Arabidopsis thaliana: one gene and its partners. The protein of the gene in region 1 interacts with the protein of each later gene in a pairwise test. Each region holds a gene or a part of one and is shown in the gene's direction. Other genes may lie near its edges.

Region 1 (4,703 bases):
TGTCTATTATGCAACACTTGCCTTTCCTACTTGCTACAATCACAGTGTCAAATTGTTTAGTATTGTATATCTGATAATTGCTTGTCCTTGTTAAGCTCCTCCAAAGCACCATATATGAAGTTGATCTTGATAGACTTCTTCAGAGTATCCATGTATATCTGCAAGATCTGGGAATGGAAGAGATACGTAGGAGGTACATCTCTTTAAATGCACTCTTAGAAATTTTGCAAATCTATGTCTGTTTATTATGTGGAGATTTTTCGTACTTGGCAATACTAATGCATTCTCGGTTGGTATTTTTTCCAATGAAAAGAGCTGGGGCAGATGATAAACCTCTGAGGATGGTGAAAACTGTTCTACATGAACTTGTTAAGCTCCGCGGAGCCGCAATTAAGGGCCACTTGTCTCTTGTCCCTATTGACATGAGGCCACAACCCATCATTCTCGCTTACATCGATCTAAACCTTGAGGTGAGACCTCCTTAGTCGTCTAACTTCATGTCCAGAAATTTTGACAAATTTGCTGAAGCTGAGGGTTTGGTCAAAGAGCGCATCCAAACTATTTGCTGTTTTACTATGTTTTGAGAAATTTAGACGCCATTGGTAGTAACTATTTAAATACCTGCAGACTTTAGCTGCAGCAAGAATGTTAACTGCAACAGGTCCTGTGGGCCAAACCCATTGGACAGATTCAACAGCCAACAATCCTTCACCTCCTGCAAATTCTGCCGATGTTCAGTTGAAGCAAGAGCTTGGGGCTATTTTTAAGAAAATAGGTGACAAACAAACTTCCACAATTGGTCTTTACGACCTCTACCACATCACAAAGTCATATCCAAAGGTAATAGATATGACTATGTATTTCAAGTCTCAATGTTTCCTGTTCTTCATGAACAAACGAGCCAAATTGTATGTACTTACAACCTCATCTTAATGCTTGTAGGTTGATATATTTTCCCAACTTCAAAATGCTAGTGAAGCGTTTCGTACTTACATCAGAGATGGTCTGGCACAGGTCTGTAACTAGTCTCCTAGCTTTTTACTATGATTTCGATAAAACTCAAGTTTTTTGTCTTGAAGTTTTGCAATCGGTTCTGTAGGTTGAGAAGAATGCAGCTGCGGGAAGAACACCTTCAAGCCTACCGTTGTCAACTCCTCCCCCTTCGTCCTTAGCTCTTCCATCTCCTGATATTCCTTCCTTGTCCTCTTTAGATGTGAAGCCTTTGATGAACCCTAGATCTGATTTATACACAGACGACATCCGAGCCAGTAACATGAATCCTGGAGGTAGTTTCCTAGATCCTTATCCTTCTTTGTCCTTCCTTGCGGTGTTTATATATATCTGTTAAAAACAAACATCTTTGGCAGTGATGACAGGGACGCTAGATGCAATCAGAGAAAGGATGAAGAACATGCAACTGGCTTCATCAGAGCCAGTAAGCAAACCGCTGATGCCAACAAACGATAACTTATCAATGAACCAACAGAGCGTTCCCCCGAGCCAAATGGGACAAGAGACAGTCCACACACACCCAGTGGTTCTCCCAATGGATGAGAAAGCATTGTCCGGTCTTCAAGCCCGAATGGAGAGGCTCAAAGGTGGATCACTGGAACATATGTAGAACTAGAGACCCCAAGCTTTGGAGTCTGAAGTTACATAAGCAAATTCGCCATTTTTGTTACTTCTCTCCAATTAATGTAGTAGTAAAATACTTTTCTTTTAATATACAAACATATAAGAGAGAGCAATATTTTATGGTGAAGCGGCTAGATTTCAATGGAGTTAGTGTGTATAGTGGTGGGAGAGTCTGGGAGCTGATGGTGAGTGTGCCAGATTCTTTTTAATATGAGACAAAATATTATTCTTTCTATGCTTGTTTACATCTTTTTTTCAACCACTAGTAGAAACCTGAATATTCTCTCGACTCTGTTTAGATATGATTCTGATGTAGTTGGCATATCTTGTGTAATCCCTCCACTCTCAAATTTCTAACAATTCTTAATTTTTGGGTTGAAACGGAAGTAATATTTTGTTCTTCCATCTAACCAAAGGTCGTATATTTGCAAACCAATTGAAGTAGAAATTAACTTAAACCGGGAACTGGTTTAAGAGATATTAATATATGACCGAAGACATTGGGTTTAAAAAGTCAGAATAATAAAAAGTTGGCGTAGTCTAAACGCCGACCCAGAGGCCCTCTCATACCTTTACCAGTGCCTATATATATATATATATATAAACAGACTAATTACTATTCCCCATCGCACAGACCCCCCTAAGAATCCGAGAGAGAAGAAGAGATAATGCAGATCTTCGTCAAAACCCTCACCGGCAAAACTATAACCCTAGAAGTTGAGAGCAGCGACACCATCGACAATGTTAAAGCCAAAATCCAGGTTTAATTTAGGGTTTCTTCTCTTCTTTATCCCCTCAAACGATTCCTTAGTTCCTCTGAATCTCTACTTGTTCTTACCTTGAATTGTATAATTAAGAATTGTTTCGAGTAGGAATCTCTAGTAATCTTGAAGAACATGGATTTGATTTACTTGAGAATAGCTAAAAAGTGTTTGTGAGGATTGATAGTTTGTTTAACGATCTTTATCTGAGCTCGCTTTTGTTCGAATCTTTGGTAAATCATTTTGGGGTTTCAGGACAAAGAGGGCATACCACCTGATCAACAGAGGCTGATTTTTGCTGGTAAGCAATTGGAAGATGGCCGGACCTTAGCTGATTACAACATCCAGAAAGAGTCTACTCTTCATCTTGTCCTCAGGCTCAGAGGTGGAACCATGATCAAGGTGAAGACACTCACTGGAAAAGAAATCGAGATTGATATCGAACCAACCGACACTATTGATCGGATCAAAGAACGTGTTGAAGAGAAAGAAGGCATCCCTCCTGTTCAACAAAGGTAAAAACAAAACTTACGTTTTTCTCTTATGACTTGACGAGTTTGTGTTTGTCTTGGTGCATTTAAGCCTCAATTGAGTCCCATCCTGAACATTGTTTGCAGTATTTTTATTGCATGTGTTAGTCCCATCCTGAACATTGTTTGCAGTATATAACTCTGTGGTACGCTCTGAATTCTCAGGCTCATATATGCCGGAAAACAGCTTGCTGATGACAAAACGGCCAAAGATTATGCGATAGAGGGAGGCTCTGTTCTTCATTTGGTTCTTGCTCTTAGGGGTGGTCTTCTCTGATCTTAATAAATAAGCTTTTCAACAAACATCTTTTCCCTCACTATTGTCCTCCTTATGTGGAATTCATGACACACCAAAATTGCTATGGGAAATTGGAATATTATGCTCTGCTTGTGTGTTTGGATCATATTACTTGTATTTTTCAGTCTCTCTGATATGATACTTTGTGAGTTAATTATCGAGTGCCGTATCAGGTAGGAATCGTTATCTGACTAACGAGTTTTCCACTGGCACATACCAATTCATATTTCGTTTAAGTAGAGAAGTCCAGATTGCATGTGAGATCTAGATCCGAGACTCCCTCGTTCGTCTATCCAGAGACCTTGAATATGGCGTCAACTGCCTTCCCACTAAATATAACGACCATGTCAAGTACTAAGAGTCTAAGACCACTGCTGAGCATGGCCTTCTGTGATAATCTCGGGGTTATACGTTGCTAAAAGTTGACTCCTAGTCACCAAATGGCATAGTTTTATAATAACACTGTTAGATCCTTGTACCAGTTACTCAGTGAGATCCTTAGATTCACATAGAGTTGTCCCATATAAAGTAAAAAAAACTAGAGACATGAAACATAGATTTTTTTTTTTCATCACGTGAAACATAGATAAGAAAAGAAAAAGGATAGGTGTTCAATTATTTAATTTAGTAGGAAACATAGAATAAAAAAACTTGCTTTGTTTTTCATATTTTCTCATTATTGGAATCACTGTCTTTTCGAACTTGGTGACAATCTTAGTACTAGAAAACAAAAGACTTTGACCGGTCTTTGGCTCATCTCTTTCTTCTCCCCTTTCTCCAACACTTATTTCTTTCTCTCTCTAGTTCATGAATTCAAGATTCAAAGACACACGTATGGCTACCTCTTGGTAAATCCAAAGAGACACATATATGGCTGACGCTGATCCATCGAGTGGTGAACAGATAGTTATGAGAGAGTGCAGAAAAGGGAATTGGACAGTGAGTGAGACTTTGGTTCTCATAGAAGCCAAGAAGATGGACGACCAGAGGCGTGTACGGCGATCGGAAAAACAACCTGAAGGCAGAAACAAACCAGCAGAGCTCCGGTGGAAATGGATAGAGGAGTATTGCTGGAGAAGAGGATGTTACCGCAACCAGAATCAGTGCAACGATAAGTGGGACAATCTCATGAGGGATTACAAGAAGATCAGAGAGTACGAGAGATCAAGGGTAGAATCGTCTTTTAACACCGTCACTTCTTCCTCTTACTGGAAGATGGACAAGACTGAGAGGAAAGAGAAGAACTTGCCGAGTAACATGTTGCCTCAGATATACGACGTGTTGTCTGAGCTTGTTGACAGAAAAACTCTTCCTTCCTCCTCCTCCGCCGCCGCCGCCGTAGGAAACGGTAACGGTGGCCAGATCCTAAGAGTTTGCCAACAAAGTTTAGGATTTGTAGCTCCGATGATGGCTCAGCCGATGCATCAAATCCCGACTACTATAGTGTTATCTCTTCCGCCACCACCGCCACAGTCTCTT
Region 2 (6,582 bases), 7.5 Mb from region 1:
AGCGTATTTTCCAATCCACAATACATGAATCAGGTAGGCCTAGAATGATCTGAACTTAAGAGCCTTTTACCATTGTGAACATATATTAATTGTTTTCCCTTGATTCCAGCTTATGAGTCTTAACCCACAACTCCGAAGCATGCTAGATTCGAATCCTCAGTTGAGGGAAATGATGCAGAACCCAGATTTCCTTCGTCAGTTTAGTTCTCCGGAGATGATGCAGGTTAGTTTGTCCCCTATTGTCTGTATGCATATGAATTTTTAACATGGTAGTCTCTCAAAAGAAACATTTCTTTGTATCTAAGCTATTTTCAAGTAAAGAAGTTTCTTTTCTTTTTTTTTTTTGGGACAAAGTAAAGAAGTTTCTTAAACCTAATGTTTTCTATTGTTTTTTGGTCTTCAGCAAATGATGACTCTACAGCAATCACTATCTCAGAATAGAAATACAGCCAGCCAGTAAGTTTTGTTAAAACCCTTCGTTGTTTGGATTTGCTTAAACAAAGTTGAGCATTTACATGTCCTTTACATATTGTTTTTTGGGTTGTTTAGTGTTTAGACAATGTTGTAACTAGCTAAAAAGATTGGTTGTGAACGATCTCTATAATAAGAAAAGGATTGAACCATGACTAATGCAGCAACTCTTGTATGATTTACTGGGCTGATCACTAGTAACATCTATCAAAGAGGCTATAAATAAAGCATTTTAATCGTTGGAATACACTTGAATAGGGCTCATAACATTTTGTTTGTTTTTGATTATGCCTTTTAGCATAAGCTATGTGTGTTAATCTCCATATTTTGATTTTCATCAATCCGCATTCATGTTCCCAAATCTATCTTCTCTGTAGGGATGCGGGGCAAACTGGTGCTGCCACAGGTACTCTTAAAGATATTATATGTATTTATTCTACAGTAGTATAAAGGGTTTAGTTATGTTACGTAGTATAGCAGCTACTCTTTAGTTCTCTTTGCTTTCATGTATGTTTTATTTTAGCAGATATTGTATCGTATACAAGTTAATAGTAGAATGACAATACTGATGGGGACAGGAAATAACGGGGGGCTGGATTTATTGATGAATATGTTTGGCAGTCTTGGTGCTGGCGGCCTGAGTGGCACGAACCAATCCAATGGTTAGAGACTACAAATTTTTTTTAGCTTACGCATCTGTTGTGATGGTTCCACTGAAACTTGTCTGTTTGATTCCAGTTCCTCCTGAAGAGCGGTACGCTACTCAATTGCAACAGTTGCAGGAAATGGGATTCTATGACAGAGCAGAGAACATTAGGGCGTTGCTTGCAACCAATGGTAACGTTAACGCTGCTGTAGAACGACTCTTGGGGAGTATCGGACAGTAGCATACAGGTTCATGAACTGATGTCTCTCCATCTGGCTTCTCAGTTATAGAATAAACAGCTTGAATGTGTGTTTTTCAGTAATGATATATTCATCGAATTCATAAAAATTTATATATGATAGGATCGTGAACTTTGTTGATAGAAAAGCCGCATCAATACGGTATTTGTTATCAGTGGTCACTCTTCGTCTTTAACTACCCTTAAACCTATATATCTTGGGTGTTTATCTTTGATAACTTATTTCAAGTTGTTACAACATACAACATCTGTAAATGTTTATAGACATCAAAGTGAAATTGAACCCATTAAATTTTTGGTTCCTTCTGATCCGGTTCAAAGGTTAAACCAAATTGCCCAAAGAGAGAAGTGGCATGTTGCAAAGGAATATCCAATTAGTTGATTCATCATCTTCAATTAGATTCAAGTTACAGCCAATTCCTTCCTGAACTATATACCAAATGCCTCAATTTAGACCCGACCCGGCCCAATCTTACCCAGTAAGAGTCGTCGATACGTTCTCTGAAGCGCAAGTCATTTCTGGATTCTCATTTAATTGGCCGTTCGGGGCCAAATAACTCTTTAATTTTCTGCAGTCTCATTTGTTATTCGACCAAAAATAATTTATATCCCTTTCCTCAAGAAATCTTCAGAACCGACTTATTAGAGCTTCGAGTCTCCTCAAATCTTCTTCTACGATTTTTTCTTCTAGGTTTAGAGCTTTTGATTCTCCGATCAATTTCGCGATTTGTTGAACTAGGATCTGAAATTAGAATGGGTGGTGAAGCAGATTCGAGGCAGCCGCTGACTGCTGAAGGCGTAGCTGTTGCCGTGAACGTCAGATGCTCCAATGGCACGAAATTTAGTGTGACGACGAGCCTCGATTCCACGGTGGAGTCTTTCAAAGAGTTAATTGCGCAGAACAGCGATGTGCCGGCAAATCAGCAGCGTTTGATTTACAAGGGACGTATCCTCAAAGACGATCAGACTCTCCTCAGCTATGGTAATTTTCTGATCATTTCGTGTTTCATTTCTGTTGTTCCGTTGCTTTAATTTGACTGAAAATCTCATAGGGTTTCTAGGGGGTTGGAACATTGGATTTATGTTAGGTTTTTACAGAAGCATGGATGATTTTATGAGTTTTGATGTATGCTTAATCCTTCTATGGGAAGAATAAGGAGATGTAGTTAGTGATACGATAATTGATTCATACCATTCTTAGAGTTCCTAATGTTCTCATGATCATGTATCTTCTTGGGATGTATATTTTCTCCATCAATGGCTGTTGTTGATATGATTGTGTTGGATAGTTTCCACGTTTTATTGTTTTGCATCATGAGCCTCAATGTTTCCTTTCTCTGTGGACCATTTTATATATAGGTTTGCAGGCTGATCACACCGTTCATATGGTTCGAGGTTTTGTGCCTTCTTCTCCTTCTGCTCCCGCTGCAAATGCTGGAAACCAAACCACTGCTCCTCAAGCGGTTGGTTCAAATGATAGCTCAAACCTCGGAGGAGGTGAATCTTTGTTCCCTGGCCTTGGATTTAATCCTTTGGGTGGTGGAAATGCTATGGCTGGATTATTTGGATCTGGTCTTCCTGATCTTGAGCAGGCACAGCAACAACTAGCTCAGAACCCTAACATGATTAGAGAGATGATGAATACTCCAGCCATCCAGAATCTTATGAACAACCCAGAATTTATGAGGAGTATGATTATGAATAACCCTCAAATGCGTGAGCTTGTAGATCGCAATCCTGAGCTTGGTCATGTGCTCAATGACCCAAGCATCCTTCGTCAAACTCTAGAAGCGGCGAGAAACCCAGAGCTTATGCGTGAAATGATGAGAAATACTGATAGGGCTATGAGTAATATTGAGTCTATGCCTGAGGGATTTAACATGCTTAGGCGTATGTATGAAAATGTCCAGGAACCGTTAATGAATGCTACCACTATGTCCGAGAATGCTGGAAACAATACGAGCTCTAATCCATTTGCTGCTCTTCTGGGAAACCAGGGGGTTACTACACAAGGAAGCGATACTTCTAATAATATTTCGGCACCGAATGCTGAAACGGGTACACCTAATGCAAATCCACTTCCTAATCCTTGGGGTGCCACGGCTGGTAAGAAACTGTATTCTCATCCTCTTAATTTCATATGGGATTTTACTTGTAGTTTAAGGTTGAAATATTAAATATAAAAGCAAGAGTGGCTTGTTTTTAAGAAGTGAAAGTTTATGTTTACCACACTGGTCAGGAATAGTATTGATTATAGTAATAATTGGTGAGTTCATGTTCTCACAGTTTGTTGTTATGACTAGTTTGTCTATGAATAAGTTTCTTGGCTGTTTGTTTCTAGTTTAACTGTTACTCGTAATGCACTAAAGATTTTAGAACATATTGTGGGGCTACTTGACAGGCCAGACAACTGCCCCTGGAAGGACAAATGCTGGACTTGGTGGTCTTGGTGGGCTTGGAGGCCTTGGTGGACTCGGTATGCTGGGAGCGGACTCACCTCTTGGTGCGACTCCAGATGCTTCTCAATTGAGCCAAATACTGCAAAACCCCGCTATGTCGCAGATGATGCAAAGCGTACTTTCCAATCCACAGTACATGAATCAGGTAGCGCCTTCAGTAATCTGAATTTTAGACATTGTAGCTATTGTGAGGCTGTCTTTAATATTTTAATATTTCCTTCATTTCCAGCTTATGAGTCTTAACCCACAACTCCGAAGCATGCTAGATATGAATCCTCAGTTGAGGGAAATGATGCAGAACCCTGATTTCCTTCGCCAGTTTAGCTCTCCCGAGATGATGCAGGTTAGTTGGGCCCATGTTGTCTCTCCAGATAATTATTTTTATATCATTCAGTAGTCAAATTTCTCCGACCTAATGTTTTCTATTGTTTTTTGGTCTTTTTAGCAAATGATGTCTCTACAACAATCACTTTTCTCTCAGAATAGGAACACGGCTGGCCAGTAAGTTTGGATACCCTTTTCTGTTTTCTTTAGTTGGAACATTAGTTGAGTAGGTAATGTCCTTTATATATCATAATAGGATTTTGGGTTGATCTGTGTTTAGAAAATAGTGTCACTAGCTAACCAGGTAATTCTCTCGGTGGTGAACTATCTTATATTAAGTAATAAATGGGTTGAATCATTAGTAATGCAGCAACTCTTGTATGTTTTACTGGGCTGATCATTAGTGACCTTTATCAACGGCTGTAAAGTATTTTAGTCCTTGAAATAAACTTGAATAGGAGCATAAAAATTTTCGTTCTTTTTTGGTTCTTTCCTTTAACATTTGATATCAGTGATCTTGATTTCCATCAACCTCTATTCATGTTCCCAATCCATCTTCTTTGTAGGGATCCTACGCAAACTGGTGCTGCGACAGGTACTATATTATCTGTAATTGAAGTATGAAGGCTTCAACTAGTTCACTTAGACAGTGTGCTTTTTTTTGTTCTTTTGCTTTACTTTAATCGTATATTCATTACGTTGCTTATTGAGTAAATCACTACTATGGAAATATTTATAGGGACAGCCAATAACGGAGGACTAGATTTATTGATGAATATGTTTGGCAGCCTTGGTGCTGGCGGCCTAAGTGGCACAAACCAACCCAATGGTTAGATTCACTAGGGGCTATACTTTGATTTCTTATATATCTATTGAGATGGTTCCACTGAAACATGTCTATTTGATTCCAGTTCCTCCTGAAGAGCGATTTGCGACTCAGTTGCAACAGTTGCAAGAAATGGGATTCTACGACAGAGCAGAGAACATAAGGGCTTTGCTTGCAACCAATGGTAACGTTAACGCTGCTGTAGAACGACTCTTGGGGAGTATTGGCCAGTAACATACAGGTTCGTGAACTGATATCACTCCACTCTGGCTTCTCAATTATAGAATAAACAATGTGTTTTCTTTCAGTAATCTAATTTATGGAATTCGTATAACTACATTTATGATAGGATCGCGAACTTGTGGATAGAAAAGCCGCTCATCGATACACTATTTGTTTTCAATGGTCATCTTCTTTCCTCTTTACCCAATCCCCACAACCTTTTTTACATACTTTGGGTCGTCTGTTATCTTTCAGATTCTATTTGAAGTTGTTACCTCGTACATCTGTAGAAGTTGATTTCGAAATGTGGAATGGTTACATTTACGTTTTCTTATCTCCATTTTACTTATTAAATATAGCTGTAGTGACGTTGATAATTTGTGATTGAGCGTTAAGTTTTTCATTCGAATAACAAAGATAAATACAATAATAATTGAAAGAAAAACAAAACTTATGAGGAAAACAAAAAAAGAAATGTAAATCCGACAAAACAGGGAGAAGTAACTGCTAAGAAACCGTCGATGAAAACTAACTTGTTCTTCTTCTACTTAACCAACCATAACTCCCACTCTTCTACTTTTTTTTTTCCTCTCTTTTAGTTTTTCTGTCTTCTCTCTAGTAAGAGACTCAATAATAATGTCGAACACTTCAAACTCCGATCCCAATTCCGATATCCCATTTGCTTCCTCCAATGTAACTCTTCCTAGTTACAATCAAAACCCAAGAAGAAAACGTACTAAACTCACCAACAACGAAGTCGGTTCTTCTTCGTCTTCTCCAAGGCCTAAACCGGTCACGCAACCGGACCCTGATGCTTCACAAATCGCACGACCATGTACTGAATGTGGTAAACAATTCGGGTCACTGAAGGCACTCTTTGGACACATGAGATGTCACCCTGAACGTCAGTGGCGTGGCATCAACCCTCCTTCTAACTTCAAACGTAGGATCAACTCAAACGCTGCGTCATCATCCTCGAGTTGGGATCCATCTGAGGAAGAGCATAACATAGCCTCCTGTTTACTAATGATGGCTAATGGTGATGTCCCAACCCGTTCAAGTGAAGTTGAGGAACGGTTTGAGTGTGATGGTTGTAAGAAAGTGTTTGGGTCACATCAAGCGTTAGGCGGACATAGAGCAACACATAAAGACGTCAAAGGATGTTTCGCCAATAAAAACATAACCGAAGATCCTCCTCCTCCACCTCCTCAAGAGATCGTTGATCAAGATAAGGGCAAGAGTGTGAAGTTGGTCTCGGGGATGAATCATCGATGTAACATCTGTTCTAGAGTGTTCTCCAGTGGTCAAGCGTTAGGAGGTCACATGAGATGTCATTGGGAGAAAGATCAGGAAGAGAACCAAGTCAGGGGCATTG
Region 3 (4,716 bases), on another chromosome or scaffold:
GTATTTAATTATAAATGCATATATAAAGATCCTACCGACGAAAAAATAAAAAGATTGAAAACATGACATCTGCTTATCGTCCAAGAGTTATTGTGAATGGAACAAGAAGAACAAGAACGTTCCATTACTTCTATTGTCGCCATTGTAGCCGTACCATTAGGCTAAGAAGCTTTGGTCTATATGGTCCCATATGTCCTTTCTGTTCTAGAGAGATCAATCTTCACGATGAGCTTGACATTATGAGGCCAAGCCGACCTTATTGGGATAGTGATACCGATTGGATCACTCTCCATCTTATCAACGAACCAAGAAGTAACCGGTTCAATCATGATGATCTAGTTTATAATACTGACGAGGAATTCGCTGATGTCATGCCTAGTGTACAAATCGGTCCACCACCAGCCTCGCAATCCGCCATCGAGGCTGTAAGGACGGTGATAATCACGGATGAAGATTTGGTGAAAGAGAAGGTTTGTGCGATATGCAAGGAGGAATTTGAAGTTGGAGAGGAAGGAAAAGAATTGAAATGCTTGCATTTGTACCATTCAAGCTGCATTGTGTCTTGGTTGAACATTCACAACACTTGTCCCATTTGTCGTTTTGAGGTTAACTTAGGTGTTTCCGAGAGTAACGTAGACGAAGGAGGGTCTTACAACATCGACAATGATCGATCAAATCGGTTTCGGACTCGGGTTTGTTCTTTGTGGCCTCTCCGAATGATGATTGATTGGGTACATAATCTCATAGGTAAGATTCCACCTCCCGATATAGCTTTCATGGCTTTTCTATTATGCTTATACGGGTTTTGACTATGATATTTAACTCTTAAAAATATATACAATTTCGCAGATATAAGAATAACAAACTCTTGACAAAAAAAAATTAAAGAATTGCAAACAAGAATGTATGAAACTAGGAATATTATTGACTACATATTAAGTGTATTATGACTTATGAGAGAGAGGAGAAGAAACACACATCAATAAGAAACGACAAAAAAAAACTACATAAAGAGACAAAGAGGGTGATCATGAAAGGCTAGAAGCGTGTTTATTTCATGAAACAAAACTTTGGCATTAACAAGACTATATTTGCATTAATTATCTTTTATTCATTTGTAAGTTGTAACAACATGTAAATAAAAAATCTTGGTAATAAGGTTAGTCCTCTACTCTACTAGCTAGGGTTCCATGATCTCTCATAGTCTCTGAAAACGCTTTGTCTCCCTTTCTTTGTTTCTTTCTCTCTCGTGATCATCGAACACAATTTACTTAGGTATGGTTTGAATAGCCTCACCAACCCTTTTTATTTGCCGGTTATCTTATTTTTGGCCTGATTTTGTAAAGCCGAGTTTGTGCCTTCTCGGTTTGGTTTACTATAACCTTCATGTAGAGCTTCCCATGGACTTCTCTACTAAAGACTTAGGATGAGTCTTGTTGTACCATCTTTTATTGTCATGCATTCAAAAATACCAACAAAATTCTACTAAAGTACAACAGATCTCAAATGACAAATACGCAATCAACTATGATGGTCACCCAACCCAATTAAACCAATCTGAAAAAAAAGTGTGATAACCAATGAAAACTCGGCCCACTAAACAGGCCCAACAAACAAATAATAAACCCAAGAGGTGCTTCTTAATCGCCGATGCCTCTCTTCATCAAAATTCAAAATCACTTTTGTCTTTTCAAAAATCACAGCAAAATAATATTCAAATTCAAAATCTGTCCAAATTCATCTAGGGTTTCTGATAAAACAGACGAAGAAGATCCAAATTCGCTAACAATGGTGAGAATTTTATGAATTCCCAATACCCCAATTTTTAAAACCCTAATTTTGTCTGTTGTGGGATTGTGTTGATGCCTGAGTTTTTCTGAATTTGTATTACTGATTGATGATCAGGGAGGTGAAGGAGAAGATCTAGAGCCACTTTTTGATTATCGTCGTGTTCAGCCAGCGAATTTCGTTTGTATCGATGGTGAGTTTCGATTATTTGATTTGGTCACTGAGCTCGACACTCGACAGTGATAAAGATGAATCCTTTATTATCGCTTGAATTTTTGTAGATGATGATGATGATGCCTCGGTGACGCCAATTCCGAAGAAAGCGAAAACTTCACAAACAGTAAGAATTGATTTTTATTGATTGGTTGTTGTCTCATTGAGCTCTTTGTGTTAACTTGATAGATACTTTTGGTATTGTGGGCTTGTAAAGAGTTTTGAATCAATGTCAGTGAAGGAACAATTCGATTATGTACTTCACAATTCATAGGTTGAATCTATCATCATTCCTTTTGGAACTTGAATCTTTTTATATAGGTTGAGAAGTTAGATGATGATGTGAAAGTGATTGAAGTTACGGGTGATGACGATTGGTTGCTTCCTCCACCAAAGGTTATCTTCGACAAAAGTAAAGACTCTGTTGAAGATTCAACTATTAAAGCATTGAGGTAACTTTTGTATGTCTTTGAGTATTTCTCATCTCTAAGCTTCCCATGTTGCTGTTAGAGGCTATGGTAGTGTTATTTGCTATCCGGAAAGAGTCCCAGTGTTACAATTTGATTATAAATGAAATATGTAACGTAGGTCGAAGAAGATGGAGCTCATGTCATTTACAAAAACTGTAGGAGATGTGATGCAGGAAGTTGAGGAGTCTGCTAAAAGGGAAGTTGAAGAATCTCGCAATCCATCTTCAGAGACTGCTGCTCAGTTACCATCAGAGCCTACGAATGACAGGGCCAAGATTGTTATTACAATACAGGACAAAGATGGACAGAAGACACTCCGGGTGTTTGCGGTAAGTTTTTTCACTGCTTGCCACTTACTATCCAACCTTCCATCGACAATAAGCTTACTATCCAAACTTTTTCTAGCTAGATACTAGATATTTAGTAGAGATAAGAATTAGTTGTTATGTCACCTTCGCTACTATCTAGATAGCTAGATATTTCGAGCTTTCTAGGAAAGCAAGAGTATAAATACAGGGATTAAAGAAATCATTGAATGGGGTCGAGTATTTGAGACGTGTATTAGTTGATGGATCTTTAAACTATTCTTTGAGTTCATCTAATAAACTAGAGAACGAGTTCATGTTCTTATCAATGTATCATCACCACATAGCATTTACACACAGAATACATATTGCTTGCTCTCTGTCATACAATGAGCCGCTCATTAATAGATATGCATATTCTGTTAAAGCTTGTAAAATATGAGAATGTTGATTTGGTATTTACCATTTTCTTGTAGGACGAGAAATTTGAGAGGGTTATCAAACTGTATACAGATAAAGCTAAGCTTGACCCGCAAAATCTTGTATTTATTTTTGACGGTGATAAGATTGATCCATCAACCACTCCTTCTGAACTTGGCATGGAGGATCATGATATGATTGAAGTGCACACCAAAAAAACTTGACAAATAGGTAACTTATGAAGTCCTCCACATCTTTCTTCTTGCTCTTATTGTGATATGATGATAACTCATTATCTTCGATTGAATTCAAGTCAGGCGCTAATCGGAATCTGGAATGTCAAATCTGTTCCATCTTTTGCGAAAAACCAGAGTTTTGTACATCAACATGGGCATGGGAAGGGATCTCTCTGCTAACATCTGGTGTTTGTATCTGTGACCTTTCTCATTTTATCGGAATTTTGTTTCTTTCTTTCTTTCACTCTTTCTGTCACTCTTTATTAGGCGTGTATAATATATAAGGTAAACCAAACCATTTTGATTTTAACTAATCCTATTGAATCCAATCTAAAAATCTAACTAAACTTTTGTTTGGTTTTAATCGTTATGCTTTCTCTATCTCTTGAGAAACATAAATATATATCTCACTAATCTAAGACAAAACTAAAACTATTGTATGTATAATCAGTATTGCTTTTTACTAACTGACAAAAACTGGAATCAATGGTAAATCGGTTAAATTCGGTTTAGTGTACTTTTTCCTTTGTTTCTTAGTAAATGTCGTTTTACACTGATATTTTTTATATTCAAATATAGTCTCATGACTCTAATATTTCTTGTTTTGTAACATTAGCTTTTAATATAATCTTGATAGAAAAGAAAACATCACATTAGTCATTAATAAAATTCTTAAAAATGTAAAATTATAAGAATTAACACATTCAAGTACTATTTATGTGTTTTAGTTCATGTGAAAAATAATAAAACCAATTAACGAACTAACCAAGTCGGATAATTGTAGTTTTTGTTTGGTCCGGAGTTAGCTACGACATGTGGCATACAATAATTGGTTAGGAAAAGCTAAGCTTTAAGAGTTAGAGATGATGGGTCGTGAAAGAAGAAGCTGTCACAGTGGCACATACGTCCGTGGCTTCCCCATATCTCACGTGCATACGGATAACGTAATCACCATTTTTTCTAAGTCCCCACCCAAATATCTACGTGGCTTTGCCACGTCATCCTAACCAAACCGACGGATTTGTTCAGATAATATGAAAAAGCTCCTAAAAACAGACAGAAGAAGCTTTTGTCACCAATCTCTGATCTTTTTAGTTCTCTTATCGGTAAAAACTTATTCTTCTCTTTTTGTTCGATCTGTGATCTCTAATAAACTAATTTGATATTTTTTTTGATGTAACAGGGAGGAATCTTTTATATGTTATGTATAATAATAATTGAGAATATGGAAAGAGTATGTGAGTTTTGTAAAGCGTATAGAGCAGTGGTTTATTGTATAGCTGA

What was found.
Region 2: the proteins of UBQ7 (region 1) and AT2G17190 interact in binary tests that used the Arabidopsis thaliana proteins (3 or more experiments, as listed by UniProt).
Region 3: the proteins of UBQ7 (region 1) and AT1G68185 interact in a two-hybrid assay, tested with the Arabidopsis thaliana proteins (one study listed by BioGRID).

The regions. Positions count from the first base shown.
Region 1 is NC_003071.7:14,978,741-14,983,443, forward strand, and holds UBQ7 (ubiquitin 7), read left to right. Parts: upstream 1-2,150; 5' UTR 2,151-2,303; coding exon 2,304-2,396; intron 2,397-2,651; coding exon 2,652-2,911; intron 2,912-3,091; coding exon 3,092-3,203; 3' UTR 3,204-3,760; downstream 3,761-4,703. Other genes in the region: MOR1 (ARM repeat superfamily protein), read left to right, coding at 96-193, 314-470, 628-840, 943-1,014, 1,100-1,286, 1,368-1,621; AT2G35640 (Homeodomain-like superfamily protein), read left to right, coding at 4,095-4,703. UniProt on the Arabidopsis thaliana protein: Ubiquitin exists either covalently attached to another protein, or free (unanchored).
Region 2 is NC_003071.7:7,476,909-7,483,490, reverse strand, and holds AT2G17190 (ubiquitin family protein), read left to right. Parts: upstream 1-1,800; 5' UTR 1,801-2,129; coding exon 2,130-2,358; intron 2,359-2,735; coding exon 2,736-3,482; intron 3,483-3,777; coding exon 3,778-3,980; intron 3,981-4,064; coding exon 4,065-4,178; intron 4,179-4,280; coding exon 4,281-4,336; intron 4,337-4,725; coding exon 4,726-4,754; intron 4,755-4,898; coding exon 4,899-4,988; intron 4,989-5,070; coding exon 5,071-5,219; 3' UTR 5,220-5,226; intron 5,227-5,334; 3' UTR 5,335-5,646; downstream 5,647-6,582. Other genes in the region: DSK2 (ubiquitin family protein), read left to right, coding at 1-33, 110-223, 404-456, 849-877, 1,050-1,133, 1,210-1,358; DAZ1 (C2H2-like zinc finger protein), read left to right, coding at 5,844-6,582. UniProt on the Arabidopsis thaliana protein: Binds and presumably selects ubiquitin-conjugates for destruction. Prefers multiubiquitin chains rather than single ubiquitins, with a binding affinity for 'Lys-48'-linked ubiquitin chains.
Region 3 is NC_003070.9:25,554,754-25,559,469, forward strand, and holds AT1G68185 (Ubiquitin-like superfamily protein), read left to right. Parts: upstream 1-1,629; 5' UTR 1,630-1,650; coding exon 1,651-1,791; intron 1,792-1,905; coding exon 1,906-1,981; intron 1,982-2,069; coding exon 2,070-2,128; intron 2,129-2,322; coding exon 2,323-2,453; intron 2,454-2,589; coding exon 2,590-2,800; intron 2,801-3,252; coding exon 3,253-3,420; 3' UTR 3,421-3,427; exon of another isoform or gene 3,428-3,513; 3' UTR 3,514-3,780; downstream 3,781-4,716. Other genes in the region: AT1G68180 (RING/U-box superfamily protein), read left to right, coding at 63-747, 850-872; BBX27 (B-box zinc finger family protein), read left to right, coding at 4,467-4,538, 4,616-4,716.